3 linked regions of the Lepisosteus oculatus genome follow. The protein of the gene in region 2 purifies or fractionates together with the protein of the main gene of each other region. This does not show direct contact. Links are inferred from orthologs where the notes say so. Each region holds a gene or a part of one and is shown on either strand. Other genes may lie near its edges.

Evidence for each region. The genes of interacting proteins can lie anywhere in the genome.
Region 1: the proteins of aar2 (region 2) and tssc4 purify together in Homo sapiens (affinity purification with mass spectrometry; 3 studies listed by BioGRID and IntAct, counting the BioPlex papers as one, with this or other methods). This does not show direct contact. The link is inferred for Lepisosteus oculatus from reciprocal best matches to the Homo sapiens genes AAR2 and TSSC4.
Region 3: the proteins of aar2 (region 2) and c24h9orf78 purify together in Homo sapiens (affinity purification with mass spectrometry; 3 studies listed by BioGRID and IntAct, with this or other methods). This does not show direct contact. The link is inferred for Lepisosteus oculatus from reciprocal best matches to the Homo sapiens genes AAR2 and C9orf78.

Annotation. Positions count from the first base shown.
Region 1 is NC_090716.1:2,144,533-2,152,272, forward strand, and holds the start of tssc4 (U5 small nuclear ribonucleoprotein TSSC4), read right to left. Parts: upstream 3,223-7,740; 5' UTR 3,151-3,222; intron 2,291-3,150; 5' UTR 2,121-2,290; intron 1,017-2,120; exon of another isoform or gene 917-1,016; 5' UTR 844-916; intron 91-843; 5' UTR 22-90; coding exon 1-21. UniProt on the Homo sapiens protein: Protein associated with the U5 snRNP, during its maturation and its post-splicing recycling and which is required for spliceosomal tri-snRNP complex assembly in the nucleus.
Region 2 is NC_090711.1:6,136,551-6,144,791, forward strand, and holds the start of aar2 (protein AAR2 homolog), read left to right. Parts: upstream 1-5,188; 5' UTR 5,189-5,280; exon of another isoform or gene 5,281-5,325; intron 5,326-5,868; exon of another isoform or gene 5,869-5,871; 5' UTR 5,872-5,873; coding exon 5,874-6,636; intron 6,637-6,924; coding exon 6,925-7,154; intron 7,155-7,675; coding exon 7,676-7,843; 3' UTR 7,844-8,241. UniProt on the Homo sapiens protein: Component of the U5 snRNP complex that is required for spliceosome assembly and for pre-mRNA splicing.
Region 3 is NC_090719.1:7,922,508-7,930,215, reverse strand, and holds c24h9orf78 (splicing factor C9orf78 homolog), read left to right. Parts: upstream 1-4,486; 5' UTR 4,487-4,607; coding exon 4,608-4,687; intron 4,688-4,821; coding exon 4,822-4,881; intron 4,882-5,057; coding exon 5,058-5,109; intron 5,110-5,437; coding exon 5,438-5,508; intron 5,509-5,663; coding exon 5,664-5,741; intron 5,742-6,080; coding exon 6,081-6,278; intron 6,279-6,691; coding exon 6,692-6,828; intron 6,829-7,086; coding exon 7,087-7,185; intron 7,186-7,421; coding exon 7,422-7,513; 3' UTR 7,514-7,605; downstream 7,606-7,708. Other genes in the region: usp20 (ubiquitin carboxyl-terminal hydrolase 20), read right to left, coding at 229-291, 1,007-1,060, 1,942-2,022. UniProt on the Homo sapiens protein: Plays a role in pre-mRNA splicing by promoting usage of the upstream 3'-splice site at alternative NAGNAG splice sites; these are sites featuring alternative acceptor motifs separated by only a few nucleotides. May also modulate exon inclusion events.

The DNA.
Region 1 (7,740 bases), on a different chromosome or scaffold from region 2:
CCCGTCTTCCTTCTCGCACATGGTCTAGATGTCAGTGTGTGGCTCAACGGCTGCGAACAGGGACTTCCAAACGCCCAGAGAGCTCACCGCCTGGAACAGGAAGGGAATTTCTGTGTTAATAATATTGTCACGATATTCACTGCACAATGCCGGCTGCTAGGCCAGAGTGGCAGTAACACTGGAGGTGTTATCATCTGCAAAGCTGCGAGAAATGAACTGAACCCCAGGTATTTTAACATCATTTTGGCGGGTCCTGTACGGGGAATTTAGCGCGTCCATAAACTACACAAATGAGATATACTGAGGAATGTCAAGACCATGTAGAAGCTACTGTTGCCTTAATGATGTGTAAGAATAATGGTGGATGGATGCTGCACACTGGTGGGGGTGGAGGGGATCCCCATTTCCTGTAAAGCCCTTTGAGTGGAGTGTCCAGAAAAGCCCTATATAAGTGTAAGCGACTATTATTAATTTGATGTCCGATAAAAGGAGTCTCCCAAAAAGCTAGCAACCCTCACATGCACATGCAATTAACTGCTACCTACAAAATGGGCTAGATGTCAAATGGCCTCCTCTCCTTTGTAAACTATCCCCCGTTCTTTCAGTAACATGTGCAATGAATAATGTGGTGCACACTGTATAAGAAATGGACCACTAAATTCTGGTGCCCCCAGGCCCTGCATACATGTCTACCAGTTACTGGAACTACACAACAGAGAGCAACAACCTCACTGGTCCGTATATCGGTAGTAAGCTCTAGCAGGCTACGCTGGGGACCCCCGTGGGAAGGAGAGGACGAGGGTGCATCGACAACGAGCCGCACCCCCCCCCGCGCCGGCTCACCTGTTCTTGCGACTGCAGCAACTTTCCGCTGTCCGGGTCAGTCAGAGCCACCAATCTCTGCAGCTCCTCCACTCTGAAACGTACCGGGTGAACCCAGGCACGAGCAAAACATTCAGCTTTTAGAACACTTTAAGGACGTTTCCAGACAGCAAAGACGACCGAGGACGGGGGAACTGTACACCGGAAACAAAAGCACAAAGATCAGACGCCACATCCCGCGGCTCTAAAACCACTCCGAAGTCGTCACACAGATCACATGGCGCGTGCATCTTCTGTATGGGGGGGAAAAACGCCCTTTGTGGTCTGGGAGTGCAATCGGGATCTTTTCCACTCCACTGGCTGGAGAAGCAGGCCGGGGCAGCGAGTGTACACATCTTTCCTGAGACCAGCAGCTGTCTGAGGTTAAAGAGGAGACAGCTGCTGTGCTCAGGAAAGACGACAGGCGACCGATTTCTGCAGAGAGGAGGAGATCGACGGCAGCAGAGCTTCAGAGGGTTTGGAAACAGGACTGGCGCTGCTGCATGAAATTTGATCTCATGCGTGTAATCTTGCAAGATTGATCAACTGCTCAATGTGTACACTTGCATTTTATTTTTTTTTGTGAAGATAATGCTACTGAATCAAGGATTAGAATCAACTTGGAAACTACAGTGTCCTCTGGTGTGTGAGATCTCTGAGGGAAAACTAGAGTACTGCTGTAGGTGGTGTTGGTGGACCAGTAGGCGATGCTCTTGCCTCTGGACCTGAACTTCCCAACCAGTGTTCCTATGTGGCGATCATGGTGCCATCTTTCAAAGGGGCTGTTAACCTCACTAATTACCCCAGGGCTGTGTGAGAGAGGAGGGGTGCTCACACTGCTGTCCTGACTCTGGGCTCTACAGTCTGGACAGTAAACTGACTCCTGACTGCTGGGTCACTAGAGACCCCAGGGCTGTGTGTGAGAGGAGGGGTCCTCACACTGCTGTCCTGACTCTGGGCTCTACAGTCTGGACAGTAAACTGACTCCTGACTGCTGGGTCACTAGAGAGTTTGTGAAAAGCAAGGGTGGTAACATAGTGTCCTGGCTAAATTATACTCTGGTACTATACAACCTCCTTCATGTAAAGCTCCCCTTTAATTGGCAAATGTGAGCAATTTTCCCATTTTCTCTACAGCACAGGGCCCATGTGCAATCAGTTTAGATGTCATGCAGAGCTACGAACTCTGGGAAACGGAACATCCGGGACATGAGGATTTGGGATTTTGCAGGCGCCGGCGGGGAGTTTGAAACCTGGCACCTGTGGAACTGCAAGGCGGCATCTTACTGGAGGTGCAGACTCACAGGTTCTGGGTGCTGGCGAGGATGGTGCTCAGTTCGGACAGGATGCCAGCTTTAAGAGAGCGAGAATCGGCGCCCGTCTCTTCCATGACGTTCCGGTCGTGCGTTCAGCAGCCAGTCAGCCGGGATCTGGGAGAGCGAGGAAGGGGAGAGAGAGAGAGTGGATTGGGGGCCCTAACAAAGTACCTGGCCGTTTGATGACTGAACTATCTGGCGCCCTCTAGTGAGCGTCCGTGTGTCCCATCATAACGCATCGAACATAAAAAACAACAACAAATGAGTCAACAACGACCTGAAAACGCATGAAAGTCAAAAACTCATCGCTTCAGTTTGCGATCTCCGAGATTTTTAAGTCTGACCTAGGGTTACCGTATTCCTAAAATAAAAAAACGAGGACACTCCGTGGATTGGGGGGAGGGGGGGTTGTATGTTTAAGAATCTACCAAATCTGGGATTTATATATTTCAACATTCACGCAAGCCACAGGGGGTGTCGGAGGAGATATCTGCACCAGTAGATATTTATACTGGTACTAGAGACCCTGGTGAAAAGGAAAAGGGGTCAAATTCCTCAGGGCCGAGATTTAAGAAGCAGAGGAGCAGGCCAGGAAAACCCGGACCTTAGTCTTGCGTGTTTCTGCACGGAGAACAAGCTACAAGACGCATTAGGAACTGAAATATCTTCGCCTTGTCTTCACTACTCGTGTTAAACGGGAATCCTTAAAAACAAGGCGCCGGGAAACGATTGCTCTCCGTGTCTGAACACATTTAAAGGCACGACGCTCGGACATTTCGGCTGCTGTATCTGGCCCTGCATCCCTGTCCGTCTTCCGGGAGCTGCAGACATGCGCCCGAACCGTCGGATTCCGCTACAGTCGCCACAACCACGAACGCATGGACTGCCTTTGGGGTCGTAAAACAACCCCGGATCCCAAAAAGATCAGAGTTGTTATTTTCATAACAGAAACTCCCACCACCCCTCCATCTTACCTTTCTTCCCGCGAAGTCAGGTTATTCTCTGCGCTACTGCATGCCGGATAGTGTAGTCTTTCACTGACGTAGACCCTTATTGCCCACAATCGAAAAACTACAACTCCCAGTTTCCAAGAGCAAGCGGAAATCCTGTAGCAGGTGGGGTGGGGGCTGTGTTTGTGGTAAGTAGTTAATGAGCTTCACGCTGCTTAGGTTAATGTAAGTGCAAGTCTGGCGATGGTGGATCTAGTGTTACAATTTACTTGTCCCGTGCATGATATTGTATTTTGTTGTGGTTATATAAAAATGTGTATTTTTATCCCTTTGCCTTTTCCAATTGCTACATGCGGATACAGGAGACCTAACTCTCAGGGGCCTCTAGGGGGCGGAAGGGACACGTTTATAAAAGCAGAACAGCTTGTTCCGATTCTAGATGGAGGTTAAACCTTTGAATAACTATTTTTTTTTAAAAAAAAAAACAAGTCATTGCTGAGAGATTTGTGTTATTATGTGAGTGTCAGGGTGTATTGTGAGCAATCAAGGGGGAAACGCTGAGATAATGTGCCAACGATGGAAAATATAACTTTTTAATAACCCCTCTGCTCCTACTGTATTCAGGATCCCCATCTACTGTCTCCTCTCACTGTGTGTTCTCATTGTGCATATCTTGTTTTTTTATCGTTGTTGTTCTATAAAGTGCCTTAAGAGGCCACCTTTAAAGGTGCAATATAAAATTATATTATAATATAAAATACTGGAGCTCCGCAGGTGTGAGCCTGGCCAGTACCTGGATGGGAGACTCCTGGGAAAGCTGAGGCTGCTGCTGGAAGAGGTGTTAGTGGGGCCAGCAGGGGGCGCTCACCCTGCGGTCTGTGTGGGTCCTAATGCCCCAGTATAGTGACGGGGACACTGTACTGTAAAAAGGAGTGTTCCTTTGGATGAGACATAAAACCGAGGTCCTGACTCTCTGTGGTCATTAAAAATCCCAGGGCATCTCTCTAGAAGAGTAGGGGTGTTACCCTGGCGTCCTGGCCAAATTTCCCCCTGGCCTTTACCAGTCATGGCCTCCTAGTAACCCCCATCTCTGAACTGGCTTCATCACTCTGCTCTCCTCCCCACTGAGAGCTGGTGTGTGTGAGAGGACTGGAGCATCATCCAGGTGGGGCTGCACACTGGTGGGGGTGGAGGGGATCCCCACGACCTGTAAAGAGCTCTGAGTGGAGTGCCCAGAAAAGTGCTATATGTGTCTACTAGTTTTTAAATTTTTGTTCGGCATTTAAAAGTGTCTTCTGAATCTGCAACACCCCGTACAAAGTTTCACATTTGGAGTGGAGCATCATTAATAAAATTGCATAATGAAGAATAATTGATTATAATAAAGCTTTTTCCCCCAAAGCAGCTCGCAGATAGGAGGTCAGGGGAACCATCTCATGCTCTCCAGGCTGACGCAAAGCAGAAGCCACAGCACTCAGCAGCCTGAGGGTCTACCCACAAGACACCAACCTGAGTTGGGACAAATGCTGCGACACTTTTTATAAAAAAGGACAACAAACTCTCTTTTTCCTATGAAAACCAAGCTATTTCAAGGTAGACAGAATGATCCTAACACGTTTTATACTAGACTTTTATTGAAAGTGTACTAACGTAGTCTCACATGCTAATTTGGTAACATCAGTACCATTGATTGTAACAGGCTGGAAAAAGTAGTCAAATTAAGTAGCACATTAACTGGGGCAAATCAGATCACCTTAAATACCCTCTACAGGTAGAGGGTGGCAAAGAAAGCACTGTGTATTGTGGATTGTGTCTCTCAGCCCCTCCACTTTGAGTTCACTCCCTCTGTGTCCCCAGGTGTGATACTAATAGACACAGGAAATCTGTCATCCCCACTGCAATAGACATATACTGTAACTATCTTCTTCCTTATCTTGCTGGAACACTGTTGCACTGACTTCTTTGGAAAAATGTTGTCTGCCGTTGTGTTGTTATGTTGGGAGTGTGCTGTGTGTGTCCGATGGGACAAATAAAGCTTGAATTTAATTAAGACCAGGGCGAGGAGTGAGAAACTGCTTCACTGTCAAATATCCAGGACACCAGGGTTAACATCCCCTCTCTTCCAAAGAGCCCTGGGATCTTCAATGACCCAGCAAAGTTTAACGTCTCGTCTGAAGGACAGCAACTCCTACAGCACCGTGTCCCCAGTCGCCATACTGGCTACTGGTTTGGAGGTTGAGGGCTAGAGGGAAGCGCACACCTACTGGTGTGACCTCAATACCACTGTCTCATCAGAACGAGAGTCAGTCTGAAGTCCCCAGAAAGATGGGTAGCACACCCATGTGTGTGCTTAGCCTGAGCATCTGTGAACGGGAATCAGTGTGCTGGATCATTTGGTTTATTCTTGATAATAGAATAACTAAACCATTGAACCGGTTAAGATGGAGCCAGCTGGTGTTTTCTACCGTTATAGCCTGAGTGATCTTGGGACCTTAATCTAGATTGTTTTCATAGAAAGAATACAGAATACTGCCATTTAACTAGTCTTAGCATAGGAACAGTTTACATACAACTGCAGTCTGAACACTTCTGAAATCTAGTCAGTAAGAACAAACTCACTCTTTGCAAGAGTCCTTACTGTGTTCCACAGTGAGCAGGTCCAGAGTGGTCCTGCACTGCTGGGCGAGGTGTGCTTTAGATTAGCGCAACACTGGGCTGCTATTGACGGAACTGGGGCGATAATTTGACGAGAGGGGAGGCCGGCTCTTTGGGTGGCGTATCAAGCACCGCCTGAGCGCCCTCGCTCTGTAACCTCAGTGCCAGCCCTCGCCCTCAGCTCGGAGACCAGCCGTGGCTCATCTGCGCCCACAAACCCCCAGTCTGCGTGCGCCCCGCACCTCACGGCAGCTACAAGTGGGTTTTCAGTACCGGGGGCCAGGAATAGCGCGTGCAGGAGCCCTGTGCCACGCCCCGGCCTGGTGGCGTTCCCAGAGGGAAATGAGAAGGCAGGGATAAGATAATTGGTACTTGAGCTGGGAACCACTTGAAAACGAAGGGAAGGGCCGAGTGCTGCTAAATTTGTCCTGATGGGAGGTCTGGGATCAAAACTGCAATTCAGAGGAGGAGTGGGAGCAGCTCGGGAGATGCCTTTAAGGAAGGGGGTACACCCCAGCGCCCGTGCGAACTCAACTTTAAGGTATCTCACTGCGCTGGCCCCTGTGCTGGGCGGATCACTGGGGCGCATGGAGTGTGTTCGCGTTGGAGCAGAACTGACAGGAAGCACCGATTCTCAAAATGTGTGTGTGTGTTTGGGGGGGAGGTCGGGAAACCCTGGGGTCCCCTGAAGACCCCCCAGAGGAAGTCCCCGAAAAACCAACATGTTCACCATGATAGAGATAAAGCCAAGTGGGACAGGTGTTCCCCGGCTAAGCTAGAACACACAGACTAGATGAATGCACTGTGTGTGAAGACGTGCCCTAAATATTCCCTTCCCAGTGATGCATTTTGACATTGACCGTGTCCGTGGCTGTGTCTTAATGTAGGGTTCTTCTTAAAATAGTCAAAAACTGGGCTGGCAAGTCCGAAGGTTTATTCTTGAGAAACAATTTCCTCTCTGTGTGTATTGTGGGTACAGATTTGTGAGCGATCACAGTTTTGTTCCTTGAACAGCCCTTTGTACCACATTGCAGTTAAATGAGGACTCGTTCTTTATCCAATCGAAGTTACATAAAATAGCCCCAATTTGTGCAGCTCATCAGATAACATGTCAGTAACTAACAGTGCAATGGTGCAAAAAAAATACTAATAACATGTTGACGTACTGAAGCAGACTCCCTGGTGTGGAGAAGTGGTCAGGGCTGTGTGCGACACTGTGGTTGAGTCCTTTAGCAAAGTATTTCACTGAGGCTGGTCCGGCACACAGCCTACTGCAGAGAGGGGCTCGGCCCTCTGGGGCCCTCCATTGGCCCATCGGGTTCAATAAAGGATTTTAATACAATATGACAAAGGAAGGTCAAGATCATAGGAACCAGCCAAAAATCAAAAATATTAATCATCAATGGTGTCCTTGGTGCCAAATTCCCCCCTGGCCCTTACCAGTCATGGCCTCCTAATAACCCCCCTCTCTGAACTGGCTTCATCACTCTGCTCTCCTCCCCACTGAGAGCTGGTGTGTGTGAGAGGACTGGAGCATCATCCAGGGGGGGCTGCACACTGGTGGGGGTGGAGGGGATCCCCATGGCCTGTAAAGAGCTCTGAGTGGAGTGTCCAGAAAAGTGCTATATAAGTGTTAAGGATTTAATTATTAATTATTATACAAATACAGAAAAATATGGAGAGATGCCTAAGAACTCAAGACAGGTTGCAGATGAGGGGGAGGCCTGTGTGGTTTGTTGGATGAAACAAGAGCACCTTCACTTTTTGATATTTATACTTCCCAATCTAAGACAGATCCAGCGTTGGGAGTAGATTGTGAAAGTGCACTTGTTTTCACTCTTCTGATGCTTGTGTATCACCAGATCAAAATCCTTTGGGTTTCCCAGGGCGATGTAGAATATGCAAGTCAGTAATGTGATCGGGCAGCTTGCTGTGCTGCAGACTGACACGGGTCTGGAG
Region 2 (8,241 bases):
TACGTTTTCCCCGTTTAAGGTTTCATAGTTTGACTTGACTACTGGATAGCTCTTTGCCACTGCTTAATGAATATATATATATACTTAATATGAATATTTCCAAACACACTGTCGAAGACAGCTGTTCATTAAGCCAGACGTTCACAAGCTCGGACAAAACGCTTCTTTACGGCTGTAAGAAGTTTCAATAGTAATAAGAGAAGAGACAGTTGAGTTTGTTAATCTTATTTCTCTTTTTTAGTGTGTCTCCAGGACTCTGATTTGTATTTTAGTGGTAACGGTATTGTTTTCGGACATCTCAAACAGTAGACAGAGGTGCAACTATCAAGAGATCCTCATCGCTTACAAAGAACTAATCCTCACAGAACTCCAAAGCCTGGTATGTACTTGTTATGTATGTGTTTGTAATGAAACAGGAACTATTGCAAAATGAGGAGCTCAATAAATCAAAAAAGCTTTCGTGTAGTGTCCAACTACAAGGTTTAATGGTTAAAATAATTTTACAGAATATACTGTAGGTACACGTCATTGTGGACAGAAGTCCCTCTTCGGGTGATGATACTATTTAACTTCATCTTTATATATGTTTGAGTGTGTGTTGGATTTATACTGTATGTGGGTATGTTGTCTGTGCATTCATGATGTTATTTGCCTGACTTTTACGGGAGTTATTTTAAAATACTAAAAGGCAACAGCCTTTCTCAATGCGAAACATTGTCAGAGTCAGTGAGTTACTGCCCTCTTGTGGTTTGGGAGATCTTGTAGCGATTCAACCTAAATTAATTGCTGTTGTGGACTGATCAATATTCTTCTTTTTTAGAACCTCACAGGTCCTTATGACACATCAAGTGAAAATAAAAATTTAAGAGACCATTGCCCCTCTGGAAAGGTATGATTTAGAGTTTAGCCATTTTAGTTCCACTAATGTAACTTGTGTGTACTTTACCTGATGTGTGTATGTCCTGTACAGTATACATGTATACTGTATGTGTCTGGTATTCTGGTATAGTATGTAAAACTCCAAGGATCTTTAAATGTATATATACACTAGACAAAATCTAAATCACCTTCGTTCATGCTGAGAGCATGGATGATAGTGATTACTCGGACAAAGCTCAGTTGTATGTTTTGCCTTTCTTGCATGACTTAAAATCAAGAGTATAATTTGTGAATGGAGATTTGTAAAGATTCATAATACACTACTGCTATCAATCGTAACTCAAATTAAATTCCAAATTCTATTAGACTGACAACTGTAGGAAGTTACATGACTTACGCTAACTGTATTGTTATCTTAGAAAAACAATTAACAAATCTATTTAATTAAAATGTAAACAACAGAATCTAGACTGGTCTATTGTGTATTTGCAGTACCTAGTACTCTATTAAAGTTAATTAATGCATATCGTTATAGTTACAGTATGTAATATTCTCGTATATTTTTTAGAACAGGAGGAAAACAAAGAATACAGAAAAAAATAAATCTCAGAATTCCCAAGGGAGGCTGTATACACTATCTTAAAATACATGAGTGAACATAATTATTTCTGTAGGGCACCGGTTTCTATCCGTAGAGTATAAGAACAATAGAAGACAGTATTCTGAGCAATATAACTCAGTTTTTAATTCCTTTTCCAAGATGTCACATCCTAGTCCTGTTTTGCATGCACCATGACAAGTAGAACAATGTTCTATGAAGCCACAGTAAGCCCGTTGTTGAACAATTGTCAGGAAAAGTCAGTAAGTTTTAATTTCTAAGCATATTGTCACATAAAATGCATTGATTCTGTAACAAAAACCTTTATTCAGATCAGGAGGCAGGTCAGAAAGAAAACAGTTCAATACCATTCTCCCTTACAAGAGAGGTATTCAGCACCAAGGACAGCACACGGCAGATTTATTTTTTTCGTGTTTCAGTGCCATTGGGGTCAAGGGAATTGTGAAAGGTGTTGGTCTTATGTCAGTCAAACCACTAGGAGTTCTCAAAAAAAACTAGTCCATCAAGTTACTCATTGAGCTAAGCATGGGGATTTCTGATAGTCAGAGGAGAAATTATAAGAGAAAACGTGGAGAACAATTTCACGATTTTCAAGCAGTAAGTTGTATACTGCCACCCCATAATCAGTTTTTTCATGGCTAGGCAACAGTGCATGATGATACAGCAGAGTATAATTTGTGCTGGAACTGAGTACTTTTCATTTGAAGATTGATGATTGGGCTGTAAATCTTTTGTAAATATGATACTCTATAGGTTTAGAGAAACATGAAGTTAATTAAAAGGGAAGTTTTTTTTTCATTATGCTTTTGGACACTTACGAGGAAGCATGTCTTGGAATAGGATGCAAAGTCTGAATTATCTGCTAAATAGCCTTCTAGCTTAATATCTGAATTCAACTAATTGCTCTGCCAGTGCTTTGTTTCAAACCCTGAAATTTTATTTTGATTATTTTAGGTACACCATATCCTGCAGTCTATCTACAATATGACACAGTTTTTTAAATGTCAAGTCAAAGGTAAAGGATCAAATAACCTAGGTAACCCTGTGAAAAGAATGGAAATGGTTATTAAACAAAACTGCAATTATGCTGACCTGGTAAGTTACTGTGATATAACACTTTAGAAGAGGGCTTAAGTCCAGCAGATATTATGAGTTTATTATAATCATCAACAGACTTATAAGTTTATTTTAATCATCAACAGACTTCAGGAAAAGAATTTAAGTAACTCACTTAAGGCTTATTCTTATTGATTAAGGAATCAATTTGGAGATTTTAATCCTCATGTACAGTAGGTTCTGAAACTGCTGGTGATTTCAGAAGGAACAAAAGTCTGTGATAATGAATTTCTGCTCAGGGATGTGAAGATAGAAGTGAATCTAGGGACTGTAGTGAAAAAGAGAGAACAATATTCTCCTTTTCCCCAACATCATTGTTCGCTGTGCTTCCACAGTTTTGAATAGCGCATGTACACAACACAAATTCTCACCTGGTGATGCTTCAAAAGAAATGATTTTTTTCTCCAAGAGGTTAACAAGGAATATATGCTTTGGTATTTTGTTTTTCAGATAAGAAGATCAGAAGGTGACCCAGTATGCACAAATAGTAAAGGTTTAGGAGGGAAAAGAAGGAAAAAAAAGAAAAAGAAGATTATCGAGGCCTTAATATTGTGTTGGAAGAAGTTACAAATCATGTATTCTCCAAAACCAAAAAGAAAGACATAAACTAGGAGGAATACACACTAAAGGAAAGAACTGTTAAGGGATTTGTAAATAATCAATAAAGATTTTAGCAGTTACAGTCAAAAACTGTACAAAATATAAGCTTTTGCCACACCTAATGTGAGAGCTTTTATAAATACTTTAAGAAGAAATATTTGGAAAGACACTTACATATTCATAGAAATGTACCATACTCACATACAGTATGCTGTATAGATACTGGGACTTTGAGAGTTAGATGTATTAAATGCATCATTTTTCATTTAATCATTTAAAAATTAAAATATAAAAGACTTTTCAACTTCTGTTTTATTTTTTTGTTTAGTAGGTTGTACTATTTATTAACATGTATCCCCTTAACCTAAACCTATGCTAGTTATAAGAACAAGAATATTATTTTTTTATTTATGTTTGTAATTATATGTTTTCCAAGAGATAGATTCTTTGTTTTTAGTTGATGTTGTTCACCATCACAATATTCTAATTAATTCTGAGATGTGCCTGTCTTACAATATCAGCATGGTGTCATAAATGATGCTATAAAATAGCATATCTTGTTATTAATATGGTCTAAGAAGATCTTTTTAAGCTATAATGCATTTATTATTGTAGACATTTAAAAATGCTGTTTAATCTGTATGGCTAACGTAAAGTTATATTGTTAACATGTACTGTATTTACATACTATATTGCCTGTATAGCTGGTCCTTTGTACTGTATTTACATACTATATTGCCTGTATGTTCTATTGTGGGTATTGATTTTGTCTCCAAGATCCATCCAAAAATATATTAGCTGAAGAAAATGTTTATATGACTATAGGGTTGTTATGAGTCAAGTTAGCTGATTAACAGAATGACCTTCAAGGTGTTGACGTTCAGTTGGTATCCAAGATGGTGCCGTTCCCATGGTGACGTCACGCGTGCAGCTCTTTCTTCAGTACTTTGAGGTCAATGAAGGGAAAAGATTCGAGCTCTCCATTTGGTGCTTTTATTGAAATGCAATGCTATCATATGCTTGAGAGTTAGAAGCTTGATTTAAATGGATATTGTAAAAGATTGTATAACCTTTATAAGATAGTTTGTGACTAAGGTGCAAATAGAGTGAGGTCAATAAAAGAAAACAGAAAATGCATGTTGTTGTATATTTGGATGTTTCTGTGTTCAAAACTTCAATGATGGCCATCTTTCATCTGTTTCATGACGTGCACAAGACTGCAGTTTATAGATCGGTTTAAATAAACCATGTCTTTTCTTCCTATGAATTATTGTTATTACATTTACTGTATATGAAGTATTTTAATCCTACTTTATTTGATTAGCTTTGTGATTTTATTTCATGTCTTGTAATACACTGTGGATTTAGATTAAAAACACCTCAATTCACTGAATATTATTTCAAGGTAGTTAATATTACATGCTAAAATAAAGATTAGAACAACAATTGAATTCAGCTTGGCCCTATAGGTGTGTAGTCATTTTGAATTATAGCACAGTGGACTAAACCTAGTCCTGGTTGGCCAGTCTGAACATAGGTTTTATATGTCTAATTAGAGAGCCGGAATTTGAAGAGCAGGGAGAAGTTTGTAAATTGGTCCAATTTAACAAATAACTCCTCAAGAGCTGTGGAATGTTTTTTTTATCCCTGCATTGAGGCATCTACTATTGCCCTAAGTTCTTTTGTGTTAGTATTTTCCCCCCGAGAATAATATTACTATTATTTTAAAGACTAAAATACATATTGTTTTTATATCAGATTGTTTAAATATCGTAATTTTACTTTATTATGTTTTTTTTTTACAGATTTCTATAGGGAAGTTTTTCCAATGGTGCCATACCTGCTCCATAATGAGGCCAATACCTATTAAGGATTAATTTTCTATGGAGATTCTTAAAATGTTTATATTGTATAATCGGAACCTTTTTTCTAATTGGTTTTTGGTTCCTTAACAAAAAAGGACCGGAAGTGAGCTCTCTGGTACACAATACGTTGCTACGCGTTTACGTTCAGGAACGTGGAGTTTTGTCTGCTATGCTACAGAGCTACGCTCCGTGATCGTTCAGGTGACTTCATTATATATTGACTAAATATATATTAGGCCCTCAAAGGTAACGTTTTGCTGGCTAGAAAATTACGGTACAGTGCCAAGAAATCGTATTGTTGAAGTCGCAGTTAATTAGAAAGATTTTTTTAAAACGAAACGTTTCAACACAGTTTTTTTTTCGTAATTTTATACTTGCATCTTTGTGCTAAAGGAATTATACGACTATGGGAAAACATCTTTGTTTTTCTAAGTTGGGGTTAGTGATTGTGACTGATAGTATAGATCATTCTTAGCACTTTTTAATGTAAAATACCGGGTAAACTGATCTTGACATTTCATTCTCACGCTGTCTGGAGCCACAAGAACGACTTAATTTAAAAGTGAATTGTCGTTTTTTTTTCCATTGTAGATAAGTTGACTATTTTAGGTGCGAATTGTAGTTGCAGAAGCCTTGTCGAGTATTATGGAGGAGCCATACCTAGGTCCTTTTGTTTCAGAAATGTCACAATGTTTTGCTTTATTAAAACCTTAGCTCCTAGGTTATTTTATTTGATGTCTTGCTGTGGTCCATGTAAGTGTTTAATTGTCAGTTTTGTGCTCTTTCTAGTAGATATGGCCAGCATGGACATGGATCCTGAACTGGCCTGCAGTCTGTTTGAGGAGGGGGCCACACTGGTTTTGTTGGGGGTGCCCGAGGGGTCGGAGCTGGGGATCGATTACAAGACCTGGCAGGTGGGTCCCAGGTTCCGAGGGGTCAAGATGATCCCACCGGGCCTGCACTTCCTGCACTACAGCGCTTCCAACAAGCCGGAGCAAGGAGGGGAGACTGGGCCTCGGACTGGGGTCTTCCTCTCTCTCAAAGCCCGAGACGTCCTGCTGGCTCACTGGGACAGCCAGCAAGAGGACCTGGACTTCTCCGCCTCCCAGAACGAGGAGGAAGTGGCCCGGGTGCGGGCTGGGCTGCGCGATCTGGACCGCTTTCTGGGACCGTACCCCTACGACATGCTTCGGAAGTGGGTCTCCCTGACGGACCGCGTCACCCAGGAGGTTGCACAACGCCTGCAGCCCCTGAATGGCAAGATCTGTGCCTTCAGCGATGTGGTACCGGAACTGTCGTTGCCTCACACGGAAGATCGGGTCCAGCAGAACCTCCCACGGTACGACATCCAGTGCCAGAGCATGCAGGAGGGTTTGGACAGGCTGCCTAAGATGAAGCTGAGAGCCGGCACAGAGCTGCGCTTCTCAGAGATCCCCAAACAGACCTACCCTGAGGGGGCCACACCTGCCCAAATCACCCAGTACAGTATGGACCTCAGTTATGCCCTCAACAGCTTACTAGAACGCTACTACAAAGACGAGCCACTGCAAGTGCTGGGTGAGTTCTGGACTGAAAAAACACACTCTGACACAATTCAAAGCCTTTACAGTTCCTTGCATTGATTGATGCTATAAAATGCCAGCCTTTTTTATTTTCTGAACACATACAGTAAATCAGGAGATGACTACTAGCCTGTGTAGTTGAATGCCATTCATTTCAGTGTAATTCTAACAAACTTCAGTTTTCAGGATTCCAATAAGCTTTTGCTTTTGATGCAGTTTGTAAGTAAATGACCTTTCCTCTCCTCCTTCTCTCTTTTTTTTTTTTTTCTGTTTTGCTGTCCAGGGGAGTTGCAGTTTGCATTTGTGTGTTTCCTGATTGGGAATGTGTATGAGAGCTTTGAGCACTGGAAATGTCTTCTGAACCTGCTATGCCGCTCTGAAGAGGCTATACTCAACCACCGGAACCTGTACCTCCACCTCATCCCTGTTCTCTACCACCAGCTGGGAGAGATTCCCCCCGATTTCTTTGTAGACATCGTATCCAAAGACAACTTTCTCACTTCCACCTTGCAGGTAGGTTGTTTGGTTCTCTTCACAAAGCTGGTCTTGCTGCCTCAGTGCTGTGCAGCGTAGGAAGACTCCAAATCCAGAATATGAATAGTAAAAGAAGGGTTAAAGTCCTGCGTGATCTAGCGCTTCATTTAGGCCATAATCGGGGCTCTTATAGATTTTCATTATCTAAGCTGTTTGTCACCCCAAGTTTTACCATGGTAAGTTGTCTTCTCTTCCGAGTTTTTTTTTTCTGTTGAAAATTGAGATCGTGTTTGATCTACCAGTTTATCTGGGGACTCACAGTATCTGAGAGTTATACATAAAAGAGTAGCTAGGGAAGAGTACAGAAAGAAGCTTAGTCAGACGTTTTTCATTTAAAACAAAATCATGTTCTTCTTTTGTTTTTTGCCGTACACCAGCCAGGAGAATACGAGGGTGGTTATAACACCAGCCAGGAGAATACGAGGGTGGTAATAAACGAGAGGTGGTCATGTGGCCCATCTGCATGTTCTGCACTGATCTCTGATTTTACTCTTGCCCAGGAGTTCTTTTTGTTCACGAGTGGGCCTGGTGTGGACAGTGGTCTTCGGAAACGGGCTGAAAAGTTCAAAGTCTACCTGACCAAGAAGTTCCGGTGGGATTTTGAGATAGACCCCGAGGAATGTGCCCCTGTGGTTGTAGAGCTGCCAGAAGGAGTGGCTCCAGAATAAGGCTACCGTCTGGGACAGCCCAACAAGAGAGTCGAGCCAGGATGTTGGGCATATCGGTGAGTTATGGATTCCTGACGGCACTGGATTTTTTTTGGGATTGATCAACTGTGCTTGTAACAGAGACCTGTAGTGGAATAGAGAAGTCTGGTTTCCAAAAAGAAAAGTGTGGGCTTGTTGGGAATTTTGTAGATGTTTTTTTAATAACATTTTGCTCTGTGGCACACAGATGGACAGCACTCTGAGCAGATCTCTGAAGATAACCATCTGTATCACTTCTTGACAAGGAGACAGGTTTTTCATTTCCTGATTGGATTTTGGAAGCTGTTCGGTGCTCTGTTTTGTTTCACATATGTGACTACAAAACGTAAAGACTTCTCATGATTTTGAAGTTTCTGCAA
Region 3 (7,708 bases), on a different chromosome or scaffold from region 2:
TTTCCAGCCTCATCTGTCTTTCTGGACTTGAGCAAGCCTTAAATAATGCAAAGCAAATCTAGTGGAGAATATCAGATAAGCTTACTTACCATGAAACAAACAAACTACCTGGTCAATCTATTAATTAAATAATGTATAAACGTGCAGATGTACAGTGTGAGCCTGTGACAAAAAAAAACAACTTTCTGCTTTTTCAGCCAAATGAACTTTAAAATGCCACTATCTTACCTGTGCATGTAAGGTGCTGTGATCTGCATAAGACTCCCCACAACCCACATATGGACAATCCTTCTGCACCGCAGCCAAAACACAGGAGAAAAGAGCATGAAGTACATTTACTAGCCATCAACAGCACCTTACTGAATTCTCCATGCCTGGGTTTAGTTTTTTTGTTTATCATGTTTAAGATTCTACCTTAAAATCATAAGATCATCTAATGCAACAAAAAAAGGAATCATCTATATCTAAAACTAAAATGCAGGAAGAATTAAAGGTTCATTTCACGTTCAAAAGTAGAAAAGACTAAAAAGCTAAACGTTTCAGCCGTTGATCTTCCTTCCAGTGAGTGTCGCCTTAAACTGAAACATTGTTTTCTTCCTGACGATTTAGGTATGGAATTAACCTTTACTGCTTCCTTTGCAGTCAGTGCACACTGAGACAGCTTCCCACTCAAACCTCTTAGAAATGAAAATAAATCAGTGCCACGTTATTGCCAATTAACAGATTCTAGCCAAGGATTATTTATGTAGGTTGATACGGAAATAATATTACTGCTCATTTCCTGTGCTACAGTATATATGATAAGACATATTAGCAAATACAAGCATATAAAATCTCAAATGTTCATAGAGGTCGGAGCATGACAACGCTTTGTGCTTTACAAAGATTCAGACCTGTACTGATTGGAAGAACTGAGATAGGAAAGATCTCCATAGGTGCTGAAAGACGCTCTGTGCTATTCTCTGTGTTTCTTAGATGACAATGCACAAATAAACAACTCTTTTACCTGTAGACATGCCCAGAGATTAGGTCCCCCTGCGCCACAAGACTGGCATGTTCCCTAAATCCCCCACAACATAAAAACAAAAATATTCAATTGGACTTTCTGGCATGTCATCAACTAGTGAACCTGTAAGAAAAATGGCATTACTGAAGTTCACATAACAGCAATACCTGCAATGCTTCAAGCATTTCAGAGTCGAAAAAAGTCTGATATTTTAAATGCACATAAGAATATATGTTTAAATCAACCAGAATCGCAGAGACTATTGGCATCCTTCAATTCAACAATTAGCTAATCTGAAGATGTAAAAGCATTCATCAAAGTCCTCTTTGTTTATACCAATATTTGCATTTGTAACAGCAAAGTCAAAGGAAAAAAAAATAAGTTCACTTGAACAAAACTACAGGAAACCGTAATAATTGTGGCTAGTTGTTTGTCAAATGATTTTGGCTAAAAAAAACTCCTCCTGGCTAACCTGGGCTGAAATGTCTTCAGATTTCTGAGTTGACTGTGCAGCTCCAGAATGTGATTTTCCATGTTTGCTTATCCTGTAAAGACCACCTTAGGCCTTGATTTGCATTGCACACTGCAGTCTGAATCAAACAATTGTGAATGGTGTAATACAACACTGTCTTTGTACTCTATTCTCACAGTAGCTTTATTTTTTTAACCGCATTGATGCAATGATCCATCTTTATGAAGCCACATTTACTAAAAATGCTGATTTTTCAATGATTTGCACTGTTATTTTACAGAAGGAAGCTCACTCCAAGATATTACTGCATGTGTCTTGTCAGCTACACTGCTCAAATAATTCTTATTACTGAAACCTCACCAGCAAAACTCAAGGTTTCAACAAGACATTTTTAATAACTCAAGGACTTGGCAAACACTTTTTAAAAGCAACCAGATTAGTGACAACAGATATGTGTTCTCACCTTGGATTTCTGCAGTAATTCCTCCTTGGTAACCTCACCTATAGAATCTAAATGAGGGCAAAGATCTCCGTTTTCCGTCATCTCCTCTGACGTGTACCTATTTTTAGATAAAATACAAATGCACATTATGGAAACACAATAAAAATAATTAAATCAGTGATTACAGTATTATTACTACTGTGTTATTGCCAAATGCTAAGTAACGCATAATCTGTATTCTAATCTACTTGTGAAAGCATATTAAACAATACAGTACATTTTCAAAAACGTACAAGTGACAAGGGAATTTAATTTTGATTCCTCGTTTCAGTCAGAAAAGGCCTTAGTTAGTTCATCCTTCACAAACAATTAGACCAACTTAAATATCGCTAAAACGTCAGCTCAGACAGTCCAAACAGCCCAGAACCAAGTAAGAACAGCCCTAGAGGGATTTTTATCAGACAGCTGTCACATGAAATTTTATTTAATTTTGATGGTGACAGATCGGAGACTGTAAACAAATCTTGTGTCTGTTACTACTGATTAATCATTACCAAAGTTTACAAAGAATGTTTACCGATCCCATGAAGACGACATCATAATAACAGGTTTCTAAGTTATTGACACTTTAAGGGATGAGCATAACATGAATGATTACTGTATTACACCAGTTCGTCAGTATCGTTAATATATTTAGCACAATGAAATAAACGAGGACTTCTTCCCTTCTAGATTTCAAACACTAGTAATATCAATAACACCCTTTCAGTCTTACTAATGATATAAAATGATTCGACAAGCCCTCAGTCCATTAAGTCATCATCATCACTCATTATTTTTAAGTAGCTAAAGGCATCTCCACACATGTATTTAACTGGCAATACCTTTTGGACATTGTGATACTGTAAATTCCACGTCAAATTACACAGAAATAGAAGTTAAGAATATTGGCCGTGTTAAATGCGGTTATATTTCTTTGCAAAAATAAAGCCTTAGTCATCCTTAGGCAGTCATAATGGAAGCCGAGTGTGAAAAAATGCCGAGGATTTTACGCAAATCTCATAAGACTACCAACACATAACAATGCTCAGAACCCACACATCAAAGAATTGAACGGTTACATGTTAATCCGTCAAGTGAACGACTTGCCATTATATGTCACGAAAGCATTGATCCAAGAGTCCTTTTCACGACTGTGATGATTTCCTACTGTACCAATGACAATTCTTTAAAAAAAACACATACAAATGTTAAATATTAAACATAAAGGATTCCTTAGAAAAAGGGCTACTCTCTACGTCTCACTAAATATGTTTAAATCATAAAAAATGTTGCCTTCAGAACAGTATGTTTATCGCCATATTATGCACTTGAGCATTTTCAATTCTGACACGATGACTGTACATTTTCCATGCATGAAGGAAATGCACTTTACACGCGAGATAAAAACAAAAACAAAAACAAAAGCGTTGTGCGTATTGCACATTAGTCAGTGAGCAGGTCTAAAAGCCACACATAGCTCCGACAACACTCAGCTTCCTGCTATAGGCTCTCATTACACTATAATTTACAGGCCTTTCCTACACCAGACCAAACGCTTTGGAAAAACGCATATACAGCAAATTAAAAGACACTGACATACTTGACAGTTCAGCACCTAAGAAATGTATATTTACCTGCAGCCAGCAGTGTGAAAACGAGCTTCGGAAACATTAAAACATTTGGAAAAAAAAGATGAATAAAGAAACCTAAGGAGCCGAGATGCTACACTGCTCTCTGAATCGCTACAGCGTGCCTCAGCGTCAGATTTGTTTGCGCTGCGTGACAGTGATGTTGACTATTGCCGAGGACTGTGGATATTTTCTGGTTTCTTTGCTGATCAAGAATATCCGTAGTGCAAACATGTTTTCACTCGAGACGTTCATAAAACTCTTTTGGTAATTGCAGCATGCTTTGTTTGTTTGCAAGAGACCACAGTTGGGTCAGTTATTCTATACAATTCTGGTAGTGCTCTAAATAAGTCGTACAATAATTTGAATGAGAGTGACGTTGTGTCTTGAATTAGATTTTATTAGCTTTCCAAAACACTTCCGTAACCTAAACTAAATTTGCAAAAGGTTTATTTTTCTCAAACCAACCCTTCTATGTGAGAGATACCCATGCAGGGATTTTTATCATACTGTACCTGTTCTCTGGTCTAGAGCACTGCTTCGGTTTATGTTGGCATTTCTCTCAATTAAAAACATTTATTGACTAAGAATAATAAGAAGGTTGTGGCATCTATATTGTTTCAACATTACAATAAAAAAACATTACAATAAAACACGATATTAGCTCAATTTTAGTAAGCTTTTTGATTAATTTTAATGCTGTACTTTCAAATGTATTTAATGTTGATATACTTTGCTGAGAAAAAGAAACTCAGTTTAAACCCATATGATTTTAGATTGAAAGACTTTTGCTCCAAAGCAAAATAAATGTATTTAGGGAAACGAAGACGACTCGTTTAATTTTTCTGTTTTTCCTGCCCTTCAGAGGGCACACCGTCATTACTTCGGCTTCAAAACATAGTGACGTAACATCCTCTTGGAAGTCGCTGGAATTGTGGGTCGCAGAATCGTGAAAACAGGGAACACATGTACGCACGTATTTTTTGTTGATTTTTTTTAACAAAACAGAAGACGAATATGCCTTCCAATAAAAACTTTAGAAGGAAGAGAGATGATTCTGACGACGAGGAGGACGAGGAGACAACAACAGAAGTCAGGTAAATATTTGATCAGAAGCGTTTAGCTTTAAAACAGTCAGAAACAGCTGAATCTGTTGGAACGCCTTAGGGTGAAAGGTGTTTCTTTTAGGGTACACACTGATGTGGTACCTGTCGGTTCTTTTCCCTTACAGATCTAAACTTGATGAAGCAAAGGAAATTCAGAGTCTTAGAAAAAGACAGAGTGGCGTGAGGTAAATATTCTGGGAATGGTACTGAAAACAATGCACTGTATTCAAAAGATACATTTCTGTTTTTTAGTCCTAGCTAGTTTTCCTTAAGCCTCGGTTTGTCCACAGAAATATCAATAAGCTTTCCCAGTTCTTTGGCGTATATTATTGATATTTAACTGCGTTTCTGTTTTCCTTAGCATTACAGCCTTACTGGTTGGTGAAAAATTGCCACCTGAATCGGAGATCGAGGTACGTAAGCTGTATGTTTAGGTTTTATCTGCCAAAGTCTTATTTCATTTCCAAAAGAAGCCCCACAAGTAATAATGATAGTAGAACAGTGAAATAGCTTGCATCAAATGTGCTTTTGAATAATCAGTATATTTTGTCTCTGAAAGGTTTAACCTTGCAATCAGTTTACATCCAGTTTTTCAGTTGTTGAATGATGCTCTGCATTTGGTTATTTTTGTCTGTCCTTCTGGAAAACTGTTGTATGTAGTACTACAACAAAACATGTACATGTATATAAAATATGTGTACATGCATGCTTACTGTGTGTACTGTATTTTAATCTTTTTAGGATGATCCCTTTAAATTGAAGACAGGGGGAGTTGTGGATATGAAGAAAATCAAAGACAGGAACAGAGACATGTGAGTGTTTTATTTTTTTTAATGCAGCAGTGTAAAATTATGTGGGGATCTGTATATATCTGGGTGTATACATCATTAACCTGAATACCTGTTAAACCATAATTAAACTGCAGTGATATAAATTTTAAAAATATAAATACTCTTTCTTCTCCTAGGACGGAAGACGAGACCGATTTGAATCTGGGAACGTCATTCTCAGCAGAGACAAATCGTCGTGATGAAGATGCTGACATGTAGGTATCTTTTCAGTTTCTTTTGTTGTGATCTAAGGCCTCCTAAAAGATACAGAAAGTAAGAATGCAGATATCAGCTATCAAAAGTATGGGATATGTTTTATAGAAATTCCCCGGGACCACACTGTGAAAAGAGTCAAATGAACTTTTCTGAAATGACAAAATACAGTAATCTGCCCTCTGTTGAATTTTCAGCAGCAAATAGAGCTATATTCAAGAGAACAGTGTACTTATTATAGTTTGTCGATTATAATTTGAGCTACAGCACAGCTGGCAGTCCTGAGACCAGCTGTTTTTTTCTCATGCTGTTCTTTTCTAAACATTTCAATGTGCTTTCAGGATGAAGTACATTGAGACAGAACTTAAGAAGAAGAAGGGACTGGTAGAGGCAGAGGAGCAAAAGGTGAAGGCGAAGAACGCAGAGGATCTTCTGTATGAGTTGCCAGAGAATATCCGAGTCTCATCCGCCAAGAAAACAGAAGAAATGCTTTCCAACCAGATGCTGAGTGGCATTCCGGAAGTCGACCTTGGAATTGAGTGAGTGATTGATCAGTTAACGGAACAAACAAAAGTTGTGTTTAAAATAAATTGCACTCTAGGACATTATTGTACTCCAAAACGGGCTTTAATTTCCTTTTACTTATGCAAACAAATGTGTTCTCACAGTAAAGCTACTGTTTATCCAAGCAATTTGTAATGTGATTGTCTTGCTCATTTAAATATTTCTCTTTTCAATAATTTAGCTTATATTGTAGTTATAGTACCCTATCATCTCAAAGCAAGTACGTCTATCTGTATTAATGGGATATACTTCTAAACAAAAATGTACTACCTCTGTTGGCTTACTGTTCTTGGGACACTTTAGAACAGAATGCCTAGAGTGCAGTGACATTGAAGGTTTGGTTTTTGAACAAGAACGCAGATGCTTGTCTCTTTTCACTGTCTCTCAGTGCCAAGATAAAGAACATCATTAGCACCGAAGACGCCAAGGCCAAGCTCATAGCGGAGCAACGCAACAAGAAGAAGGACAGCAGCACTTCCTTTGTACCTACAAACATAGCAGTGAACTATGTTCAACACAATCGCTGTAAGCCCCATTCTCTTTGTAATTAATAAAGACCCACAATGTCAAGCCTAACTGATCCCAGATTCCTGTATTGATAGTGCAATAATGTAACACGATTTGGCTTGAACTGACTGAGCCAGATTATTGAAGTAACAGTACATTATCCTCAGTTACTTATATCCTTTTAGAATCTGTATGCCAAAGGATATAGGATCAACATTATGCACTGCCCAGTAGTGTAGTGTAATGTCAAATGCCTGTTCTTCTGTTTGATTTTAGTCTACCATGAAGATGTGAATGCACCAGCAAAAAGACACAGAGAGGAGCCCAAAGCTCGGCCACTTCGAGTGGGGGACACTGAGAAACCTGAACCAGAAAGTAAGAGTTGACAGAACAATCACCGTGTACTAAAATGAATTCAGTTTTAAATCAAATCTTATTATTTTTACTTCACATGCTCTTTTGCTGAAGTGGACAACTTACCACCTGTAAACCTGAAGTTAATTTTTCTGTTAAATTTGAAAGCCATTTAGTACAAAATAAGTAGGAATATCCAAGTTTAACACACATTTGTGTAACAACAGCCTAAAAAATTGCACCTTTGTCTTCCACAGAAACGCCTCCTAATCGCAAGAGACCAGCCAATGAGAAGGCCACAGACGACTACCATTATGAGAAGTTTAAAAAGATGAACAGGAGATATTGAACTGATTTGTCTGAGGATATCTATGACTGTCCAGGTCTTTTTCCAATTTCCTATAACATTGTACTGCATTAAAATATCTCTTTGTTATTATAGGTCTTTGTAAGTTTTTTCATTAAAGCCATAAAGCAAGAAATGGGTATTTAAAATCAAACAGTAATGATGACAAAATTAAGAAAACGAGTTCAGGTTTTAAAG